Linked DNA regions of Mus musculus: all the other regions are reported to be linked to region 3. Evidence: microRNA targets listed by miRTarBase, many of them from high-throughput screens and not tested one by one. Region 3 holds a microRNA gene; each other region holds the end of a gene's coding sequence.

Evidence for each region. The annotated mature microRNA mmu-miR-130b-3p reads CAGUGCAAUGAUGAAAGGGCAU and lies in region 3 at 1,229-1,250, shown strand. An mRNA with a match to its seed (bases 2 to 7 or 8) in the 3' UTR can be bound and repressed. Matches are read on the target gene's strand: a 7mer-m8 pairs with bases 2 to 8, a 7mer-A1 pairs with bases 2 to 7 and ends in A, and an 8mer does both.
Region 1: the mRNA of Rhod is a reported target of mmu-miR-130b-3p. Seed matches in the 3' UTR shown: 7mer-A1 at 1,583-1,589.
Region 2: miRTarBase lists Acbd5 as a target of mmu-miR-130b-3p. Seed matches in the 3' UTR shown: 8mer at 584-591.

What each region holds. Positions count from the first base shown.
Region 1 is chr19:4,423,461-4,426,719 of GRCm38, forward strand. Rhod (ras homolog family member D) reads right to left here. Exons shown (of 5, transcript NM_007485.5): 4 at 3,167-3,259; 5 at 12-2,796. The coding sequence ends at 2,629. Among named protein-coding and RNA genes, the nearest start is that of A930001C03Rik, 14 kb to the right of the region's middle.
Region 2 is chr2:23,112,083-23,115,341 of GRCm38, forward strand. It overlaps Acbd5 (acyl-Coenzyme A binding domain containing 5), which reads left to right. Exons shown (of 14, transcript NM_001355637.1): 14 at 423-2,431. The coding sequence ends at 435. Among named protein-coding and RNA genes, the nearest start is that of Mastl, 42 kb to the right of the region's middle.
Region 3 is chr16:17,122,062-17,125,320 of GRCm38, reverse strand. It overlaps Mir130b (microRNA 130b), which reads left to right and starts at 1,179; the gene lies at 1,179-1,260. It overlaps 2610318N02Rik (RIKEN cDNA 2610318N02 gene), which reads left to right and starts at 119. Exons shown (of 7, transcript NM_001358255.1): 1 at 119-331. Mir301b (microRNA 301b) reads left to right here and starts at 825; the gene lies at 825-921.

The DNA of each region.
Region 1 (3,259 bases), not on the chromosome of region 3:
AGGCACTTGCCTTACAAGTCTGATGATCCGAGTTTGGTCTCTAAAATGCACATAAAAGTAGGAGAAAACTGATTCCACAAAATTGACCCCCAACTTCCACAGCTTTGTCATGGCAACATGCGCCCACATACACACAATGTTAACAATTAACTTGATAAAAAGCATATACAGAATAAAACAAAACAAAACAAAACAAAACAGGTGTAGTGTAGAAAGTTGGCTCAGTGATTAAGAGCACTGGCTGCTTTTCCAGAGGACCTGGGTTCATTCCCAACACTCACACGGCAGCTCACAACCGTCTGTAACTTCAGTCTCAGGGGATCTGACAGTCTTCATGCACATGGTACACAGACATGCACGCAGGCAAAACACTCATACACATAAAAATAATTAAAATTAAAAGCCAGGTAAGCTATAGAGTGAATTTCAGAGCAGCCAGGGCTACACAAAGAAACCCTGTTTCAAACAAAAACAAAAATTTTAAATTAAAAAAATAAAAGCAAAATTCATTTCTATTAAAAAAAATAGATGTGATTATGTTTAAATTGTTAGACTTTGGAGGCCAGTGCCTTCAGTAGATGAAGACACTTGCCACCAAGCCTGACAGCCTGAGTTTGATCTCTGGGACTCACATAGTGAAAGGAGAAAACTGACTCTTGAGGATTTTCCACTAACTTCTACATGTGTGTCATGGCATGTCCCACAGCCCTCACAAATAAACATGTGAGAAAAGAATTTTAAATTGATAGTCTTTGAATAAAGCAGGTGGCACTCAGTATGTGTGGGCCTCTTGTCTTCCTGAAGAATTCTGCCTCAAGTTTAGCAGTCCAAAAACCCTGAGTTTCCAGCCCACAGCCCTGCAAATTCAAATGCTGGATGTCAACACCAACTCATTTGCATTACAAGTATCAGCCTGCCAGACCCCACAACCACACGGGTATGAGCATATGAGCAGGTTCCTTAATGAAACCGTGTGTGTGTGTGTGTGTGTGTGTGTGTGTGTGTGTGTGTACCCCACATTGCACATGTAGAGGTCAGAAGACAACTTTCAGGAATCAGTTTTTTTCACCTTGTTGAGGCAGGTCTCTCTTGTTTCTGTAGTTTCCATATGTGGGGTGTGTGTATCAAGGCTTTTGAGCTTCCAAGAGATTAGAAGAGTTTCTTGTCTCTGACACCTTTTTTTTTTTTTTTTTTTTTTTTTTTGAGACAGGGTTTCTCTATCCCTGGCTGTCCTGGAATTCACTCTGTAGACTGAGCTGGCCTCGAACTCAGAAATCTGCCTGCCTCTGCCTCCTAAGTACTGGGATTAAAGGTGTGCACCACCAACACTGGCTTGATTTTATGGTGTGTATGTTTGCCTGGTTTTGTTTTTGGGTTTTTTTTTTTGTGCCTGGTGCCTATGGAGGCCAGAAGAGGGCATTGAGTCCCACAGAACAGAAACTACAGGTGACTGTGCGCTATCCTATGTGTGCTGGGAACCAAACCTAGATCGTTTAGAAGACAAGCCAGTGGCACGCGCACACGCACACACACACACACACACACACACACACACACACACACGTGTGAGGACTCACGGAGATAGTGCACTAATGCTTTTGATCACTAGCCTCTAGCTTAAAAAAAAGTGAAGTTACACTTCAGTTCTACTGTGTATGTGTTGGGTGGGTTTATACCAAGGTATACATGGAAGTCAGAGGTCAAATGTGGGAGTCAGTTTTCTCCTACCATATGGGTCCCAAGGAACTCAAGCCGTCGTGGCAAGAACCCCTGTCTGCTGAGCCACCTCACCAACCTCGCATCTTGCTTTTTATATGGGTTCTGGGAATTGAGTTTAGGTTGTTTGGTTTATGTGGTGGCACCTGGAAAGCATTACTGCACTATCTCCGTGTGTGTGTGCCTGACACTGTGCTGTTTCTGGAGAAGTCTACTAACATGGTAGACAAATGAGAGTGTGTACCTTTCATGCAAGGCACTTGCTAAGCTCTTTGAATGTGTTAGTCCTCATGACTTTTATTCATGCTTGATGTAATTTCTGATTGGCCATTTTACAGATGAAAGGCTGAGGCCTAGAACTTCCTCAAGGTCTTAAAGTGATAAAGTCAGGTTTGGTCCTAGCAGTTCCACCCTAGGGTCTAGGTGGATGGGCTCTTTCCTACCTAGTAGTATGTAAAGATGCTTTGAAGGAAGAGTCAGGACACTAATAGCAAGTGCTGCCATTTTAGTTGTTACACTTAGCAATGGGATAAATAGGATGATCACGGACGGGGCAGGGTATTAGCCCGGGCAAGATGGTCTTGGGAACCCTAGGTCCTGTAGATATAACTCAATAGAATAGCCACAAGGTGGCGCCAAACAGACCGCACAGACCCCGCTCAGGACGCAGGTCCAGGATTGGGCACAGGAGTCTATAATGGTTCCAGAGCTAAGGGTCTGGGAACCCTCTTCCTCAATCCAGGATTCCTCGGTCCAGGGGCCAGGCCTCATTGGAGCCCATCTGTGGATGGATGTGTGGTTCTACCAGCTCAGCCTAGGGATTAGGTCCATCCCAGTCAACAGAGTACAAGTTCTGCTTCTGGGTCTTTCTGCAGCGGAGTAAACCGGAAGGCAAGGTGGGTTCCAAGCCAGTCAGGTGGCCAAGCAACAATTCTGAGTAATCCGCCGCCAAAAGTTATGTCTGCGACTGCTGAGAGCCACTTCTGCTGCTTCCTGGAAGACGGCTTCCACGTTGTCATGGAGCCGAGCTGAACACTCAAGATAGGCCACCGCTCCCACAGACCTTGCCATATCGTGGCCCTGCCAAAGAGCAGTAGGAGCTACTATGAGTTTGGGATGCGGGGTGAAACTCACATTTGGTCTTGCTGCAGCCCTTTTGGCAATGTCAGTAGTCTTGAGGACAATAGTGGGAAGTGGGGTTTTTCCAGGGCACCTTCAGTGGGCAACTAATCTGTGTGTTACAGAGAAAGGTCTAAAATCAAATAACATGGACCTCAGGGGTCTTATTTGTGCATATTACCTATCTGTCCTGTCAGAGCCTCCTTGAGCATTCTGGGTTCTGCTTCCAAGTGCTGCCCCTTCCTGACTGCTGACATCCGCCAAGACCCCCGTGTGCGACACACCTGGCACAGTGGGGAAGTATCCAGAGGTTGCCTAGCTTCCTACCTACCCTGTGGTAGGTCACGGGCTCCAGTCTTTTCTTCCGCAGGTTGTTCACCAGCACCTTGTCCTTACGCAGGTCTATCTTGCAGCCCACAACAAT
Region 2 (3,259 bases), not on the chromosome of region 3:
TCATTGATGTTAAGGTGTGTTTCTTATATGCAGCAGAAGAATGGATCCTGTTTCTGCATTCATTAGTCTCTGTCTCTTTTCATTTCAGACCATTAACATTGAGAGATATCAATGATTAATGATTGTTGATACTTGTTATTTTGTTGTTGTTGTTGGTTGTTTATGTTGTTGGTGTGTTTCCCTTCTTTTGATTTTGCTAGTATGCAGTTATTTATGAATAAATACATTTGATAATCCGACTACCTGCATCTCCCCCCCCAAGTTAAGTCACAATGAAGTAACCTTAAATGATTTGTAGTTTTACAGTGTTATTATAAATTTGAATGCTGTGTTTTGTCCATGCAATTCTTTGGTATGAATGTGCTTCATATTCAGGTTATATTTATACTTACAGGAAATTGGTTTTTACTTTCTTTTTAAAGAAAACTAAATTGAAGAAATGGCTTTTTACTCAAGAAGACTGCTGGGCCTGGACGACCTAAGAGACGGACTGGAAATGAAGTGGAATTCAGAAGAAAATCTCAGTTTTGATGATTACGTTGCTTTTTTGTCCAGTAGTTTGGTTTATATACATAAATATTCTTTGCACTACACAAATGGTAACATTTTAAAGACTAATATTGCTGATACTTGAAAAATCAATCTCAACTAGATTTTAAGTAGCATCCATAGACTTACTCTTTTTGAGCTTGAAGGACTAAATTATTAATTATTGTTCAGTAATGATCACCTAATTTTTCCCATAAGAATTATAAGCTGCATTTCTAAGGCATAGCTCCAATTATGAGATAAAATTTATACTTTTTACTTTTCTAAATTAAACACAAGAAAGAATGCAAAAACAAAAGTGATTTTTTAAAAATGAGGTTAAATCGATTTTGCATCAGTCACTGAACTGTCAGCTACGTGGCAGGAACCGGACGGAAGAATCCTCTCCAGGAGACTGGGCTTTAGTTAGTGGCTTGATTCCCCGGCTTGCTCAAGGGAACTCAGAAAATCATCGTCCTTGTACTGCGCTTCTGTTTACAAACGATTCACTGAACAGACTTAACTTGATGATGGAAATGATGAAAAACAGGCCTAATGTAGGTGTAAAAGTGTATTCAAACTCTAGACACGGCTAATCAGATTTTAATTCAATCATACACACATAATCCTTTGTAATCATTTTTCTTTTAAGTGAGGATATCTACTGTCTGCTTCATAGGGTGCTTTGCAATAAAATGAAAACGTATTTATACTGTTTTTACTAAGGTAACAAAAGCATGATAATCCTTTTTTTTGCAAGTGTAAACGACAGTCTGGACTCTTAACTTCTTAGTGCCTCAGTTTTCCTTTGGGGTATACTTCACAAGGTATCAGAAGTACTTTCAGTCTACAGGTCTCTATGTCCACATAACTAAGGAATGCCTAACTAATGGAAACTTAAGTTCCTTCTAGCCATTAAAACAGAGAGAAGATCAATTTAGATCCCGGAACACTGTATTTGAAAAATAATCTTCCTGTGTACTTTCTCAAACCTGCGCTCAGTAATATACTTTATTCTTTGAAGATTTAATTTAAAAACTTCATAGAAAATCCTTTTTTGCTTTTCCTTTTGAGACAGAGTTTTGGTAGCTCCTACCAGCCTCCAATTCTCTATGTAGCTGAAGATGACCTTGACTACCTGAGTTTCCTGTCTCTACTTCTTTTCAGCTTCTGGGACCACAGGCCTGTACCACCATGGCCAGCTTTAGAGAGTAAAACATTTTAATTTGTTCTTGATTTGTATGATGTTGGGGGCGTTAGCATTACGTGTTGAATATTTTGAGTAAGAAGAAAAGAATCCATCTTCAGAATATAGGGTTGTTCTTTGGGAAAAAGAGTATAAGAACATAATTTCTTTGTCCTAGACTTTACAAATTTTTCAAAACTGTAACTTTATTTTAAACTTGTGTATCACAACTTGGTTGATATGCCTAAAATGATCTACTGGCTTTTGCTTATGATTAAAAAACCTCAAATCTATCTTCTACATTTTAAAAGGAAGAAAAAAAAGCAAATAACTGAATTATTATAGAAAACTTTAGACCTGTGACATTTTTTTGTTTTAAATTACAAAAGAGGTTGGTATGATAAAGTGATGGCTTTTTTCTTATATAAATAGAATGCAAATCAAAGATATAACCAGTGTGATTGATTGCAAGTAGTCAAGTGTAACTAACTCCTAAGGGCAACCATTTGTATCTTATATATCAGAATTACTTTATAGTTTGAAAGCACTTTGCACACATTTCCTGTATATAAAGGATGTAATTACAGGATATAGTGGTAATGCATTAAAACATGAACCTCATTTTAGAAATCGACAGCTATGGTATTTTTTTAATGATCAGCTTTTCTGTTTATTGTAAAACTAAGTTAAAAAATAAAAGGTTAATGAGAAATGAAATGCTAACTGTATTGACTGTGTACAAAGCTAAAGCAAGAAGCAACAGTGGTTCATATACAGTAATCTTAAATGGCAGGCAGGAGATACAACTGTCCGAAATCCCAAGCACAGGATTCCACAGGTTCCATTCCGGGTAACATGCAAAAGGATAAGGTCATGAGACTAAATAAAGGCATATTATTATATATAACTTGAACAAACAACAGAAAACCAAGAGAGAGAGGGTTTTACTGTAGCTTAGACTAGCTTTAGACTTGAAGCAATCCTCTTGCCTCAGCCTACGAAGGACAAAAGAGAATCATTTTAAGTTTCAACAGATGTGAAGCTGAGAATGTGAAAGGTATAGAATAAAGTGCTGTCTCTTGGCTCATACTAGAGCAGTCTTCAGTGAAGGAGAATTCATACCTCCCCATATACAAAAGGATAGAGATGATTTCCTAGTGTGTGCTATTTCAAATGGCCTTCAGCCCAAACAATGTTTATGTGAAAGAGGCGTGTTGGGGGTGGCATTCTTATTTCTTTAGACGAGTTGATTTCTGTGGGGAAATCTCATTGTTCTTCTTAAGTTTTTTTGGCAGGTGTAAATTTAGATGATACATTATTTATTCCCAGTAAATACCATTACACAACAGTGCTTTATCTGGTGGCAGAATATTAGGTGATGAGCTGGAAATGTGATAGCAAACTAATTTCCTATTCAAGTTGGTTATTTTGATCTCAAGTTGACAGGCTAGAGTTACCTGAAAGGAGGGAACCTCAAATGAGGAAGTGCCTCCATAAAATCTGGCTGTAGGACATTTTCTTAATTAGTAACTAAAAGGCGAGGGT
Region 3 (3,259 bases):
AGAACTCATTGTTAAAACGGTGGAGCCAAAACTCGGGCGCCTGGCCAATCGGAGCCTGGAGGCTATTTTGAAATCTTTCCAGCAGCAGCCAATAGGTGCGCAGGAGGCAAAGCTTGGTGTAGGCGCAAGCCAATGAGGCTGGCGCTGTGCCTTGAGGCCCGGGGCTCGGCCCTCGGGACTGTCAGATGGTTAAAGATGGAGCCGAGGGAGAGAGGGCGCCACGAGGTGCTGAGGTGCGGGGTTGTCCAGATATGACGGGGCCGCCGCCTACCTGGATCTTCCACTAAGCTTCACCTTGTCCCCCTGGTGAGAACAAGAGGTGTCTGTCCACGTGAGTAACTGGTCTGGGATAGGGTGTGCGGTGAGGCCAGGGAAACTCCAGATGCCAGGAAGCCCTAGTTCTGCTCTTCTAGGCAGGAGAATCTGTTAGGATAGAGTGCAGAACTCATACTGGGGGAATGGACCAAGGACCGGATCTCGGACTCCAAGGGCCTCACGTGCAAGGAGTGAAGTATCCCTCTTATTCTAGTTCTGGTCTGAAACAGGGTACAAGTAGTCCCACTGTGCTCCCCTCTGCAACTGAGCGCAGGCCTCTCTCCTTTGTGTTTGAGCCCCCTCGGGTGCTCGCCCTTCAGCTCCCTCCTTGGAGTACCTCACCAGAATCAGAAGCCTGTTAGAGAAAGTTTGAGTTCCCTGAAGTTAATAAGTCCAGAGGACTGCATCCGGGCTGGAATCCCGTCTGTTCTCCGAGCTTGGATAGATGTCCCACCCACCCATGGTGGTTGAATTTCCAGCGCAGCCCTGCGTGCAGCGAGGGCGATGGATTTCCTGCTGGCTGCGGGTGCTCTGACTAGGTTGCACTACTGTGCTGTGAGAAGCAGTGCAATGGTATTGTCAAAGCATCTGGGACCAGCCTCGAAGACCACCTCACCTACTGTTCCTTCTTTCTTCCCTTTCCAGGCCTGGCCCCTCAGGCCTGCAGGCCGTACCCTCCCCCTGCTCATTTTACTCTCTTCTCCATGGAAACTTGAGATTGTAGCCAGGCCCGTGTCTCTGGGGTCAGAGGGCATCCTTTGCTCAGGCCGAGGCTCCGCCCAGGTGGGCATGCGTTCTAGGTCTAAGATCCCACTCCAGCCACCCCAACTCCCCATGCCCCGCCCCACCCCGTGAGACTGACAGGCTTGTTGGACACTCTTTCCCTGTTGCACTACTGTGGGCCTCTGGGAAGCAGTGCAATGATGAAAGGGCATCTGTCGGGCCAGCTAAGGAGCCTGAGGAACAAAAGGGTCAGTGCTTGGATCATAGTCTTAGATAGAGATAGCTATCTCTAGCTAAAAGGATAAGGTGGATGCTGAGAACCATATTCCAAGGCTGGAACCAGTACAAAGGGGAGACCCCAGATTTGGAAAGGCTCCAGTCTCAAGCTCTTAGCCCCCTCCCCCCAGGTTAAGATAGGGGAGTCTGCTGCAGGGGGCGCGGCGGTGAGTGAATGGTAGGTAGCTCATGCCTTAAATCTCAGCACTTGGAAGGCAAAGGCAGGTGGATCACCCAGATCTAGGGCATCCTGGTCTACATAGTGAGTTTTAGGACAGCCAGGGATACACAGAGAAACCGTGTTTTGAGAAAAACCAAATTAACTAATTAATTAATTAATCAATTAAAAAAGAAAGAAAGATTGGTGAGCCCATGTCTGGAGGCTGATGCAGGAAGATTGTCTCAGTTTTGAAGCTGTCTGAAGAATCAAAACAAAACTAGGAACTCCAGGACCTTGTGGAGAGAAACAGATGTTCACCTCTTTGTATGGAAAAGGTTTGTATACCTTGCTTAGCCTTGACTGCCTCGGGAAGAACTGGACTCAGCCTTTCCTGAGATAACCACACCTTGGGTTCACACCTTGAGGCTCAGAAGAAGTGTCCTGCCTGGGCCAGATGGATGGACTTGGAACAAGAAGCCTGCAGAGTAGGCCTGCCAGCCATGTCTGCTTGCTCCTTTACAAAGAGGGTATGTGCTGAGTAGGAGAGGCATGGAGGTGTCTGGTATGTCTGCTTTCCAGACAGGGCTGGAGCTCATTTTTATTTATTTATTTATTTATTTATTTATTTAATTTATATGAGTGCACTGTAGCTGTCTTCAGACACACCAGAAGAGGCCATCGGATCCCATTACAGATGGTTGTGAGCCACCATGTGGTTGCTGGGATTTGAACTCAGGACCCCTGGAAGAACAGTGCTCTTAACCACTGAGCCATCTCTCCAGCCCTGGAGCTGAATTTTTAAGGATGCCCGATCCTTAGTGTGCTTGCAGAGTTACCTTTAGCGGCAAGACCCAATGGCCCATGCCTTTGAATGCAGCACAGGGAAGGCATGGGTAGGTAGATCTCTGTGAGTTCAAGGACAACCTGGTCTACCCTGCACGTTCCAGAAGAGCTATATTTACATGGTAAAGCCCTGTTTCAATGCACCCACCCCTCTTTTACAAACAAACAAAAACCTAGTAGGAGGTGGTCAGGCCTGCCTCCTTGAGAGGAGGCCCAGGCTTCCAGATTCCCTTTTGGGAATAGATTGAGAAAATCAGCCTTAATAGTACTCTAGCTCCACAAGTCCTGGCACCCATGGGGACTGCTCTGATACATAATGAGTCTCAGGCCTGACGGAGGGCTTTGATGGGGAAGAAGCAACCACACTCCTTTGTGGCTAGGGTAGACGTGTGTCAGCAGCTGTTGCCACAGCAGATCCATCCTGAGGTGCTAGGAATCCTAACATGTGCATATCTTACATATCTTACATGTGCATATCTTACATATCTTACATGTACATATCAGGGGAGGTCTGGGCCGCAAAGGATTTAGGTTGGCTAAGTCACTTCTGTGAATTTGAATTGGCTCAGGGTGTAGAACACTTGCCTATTATGCACAAGGTCCTGGGTTTAATCCCTAGCACTCCAGAGGGGAGGGGAGGGAGAGGAAGGTAGCGGAGGTAGGTGTGAGGAGAGGCCACAGGAGGACATCAAGACATAGAGCAAGTAAGTGGTCATGGGTGCAGGCATGCAGTCTCTAATCCCATTGTTTGGGAGGCAGAGTTCCAGCCTGGTCTACAGTGGATTCCAATATAGCTAGAATTACATAGGAGACCTTGTCTCAAAAAACAAGCAAAAGAAGTGGTCAGGACATGATCTGGAGAGGGATGTGTGTAATGCTTCCGAGTAGGTAGGAAACTCAGAGGGTGCAAAAGCCAGAGCTAAAGCCCTTTGGGGGGCAGAA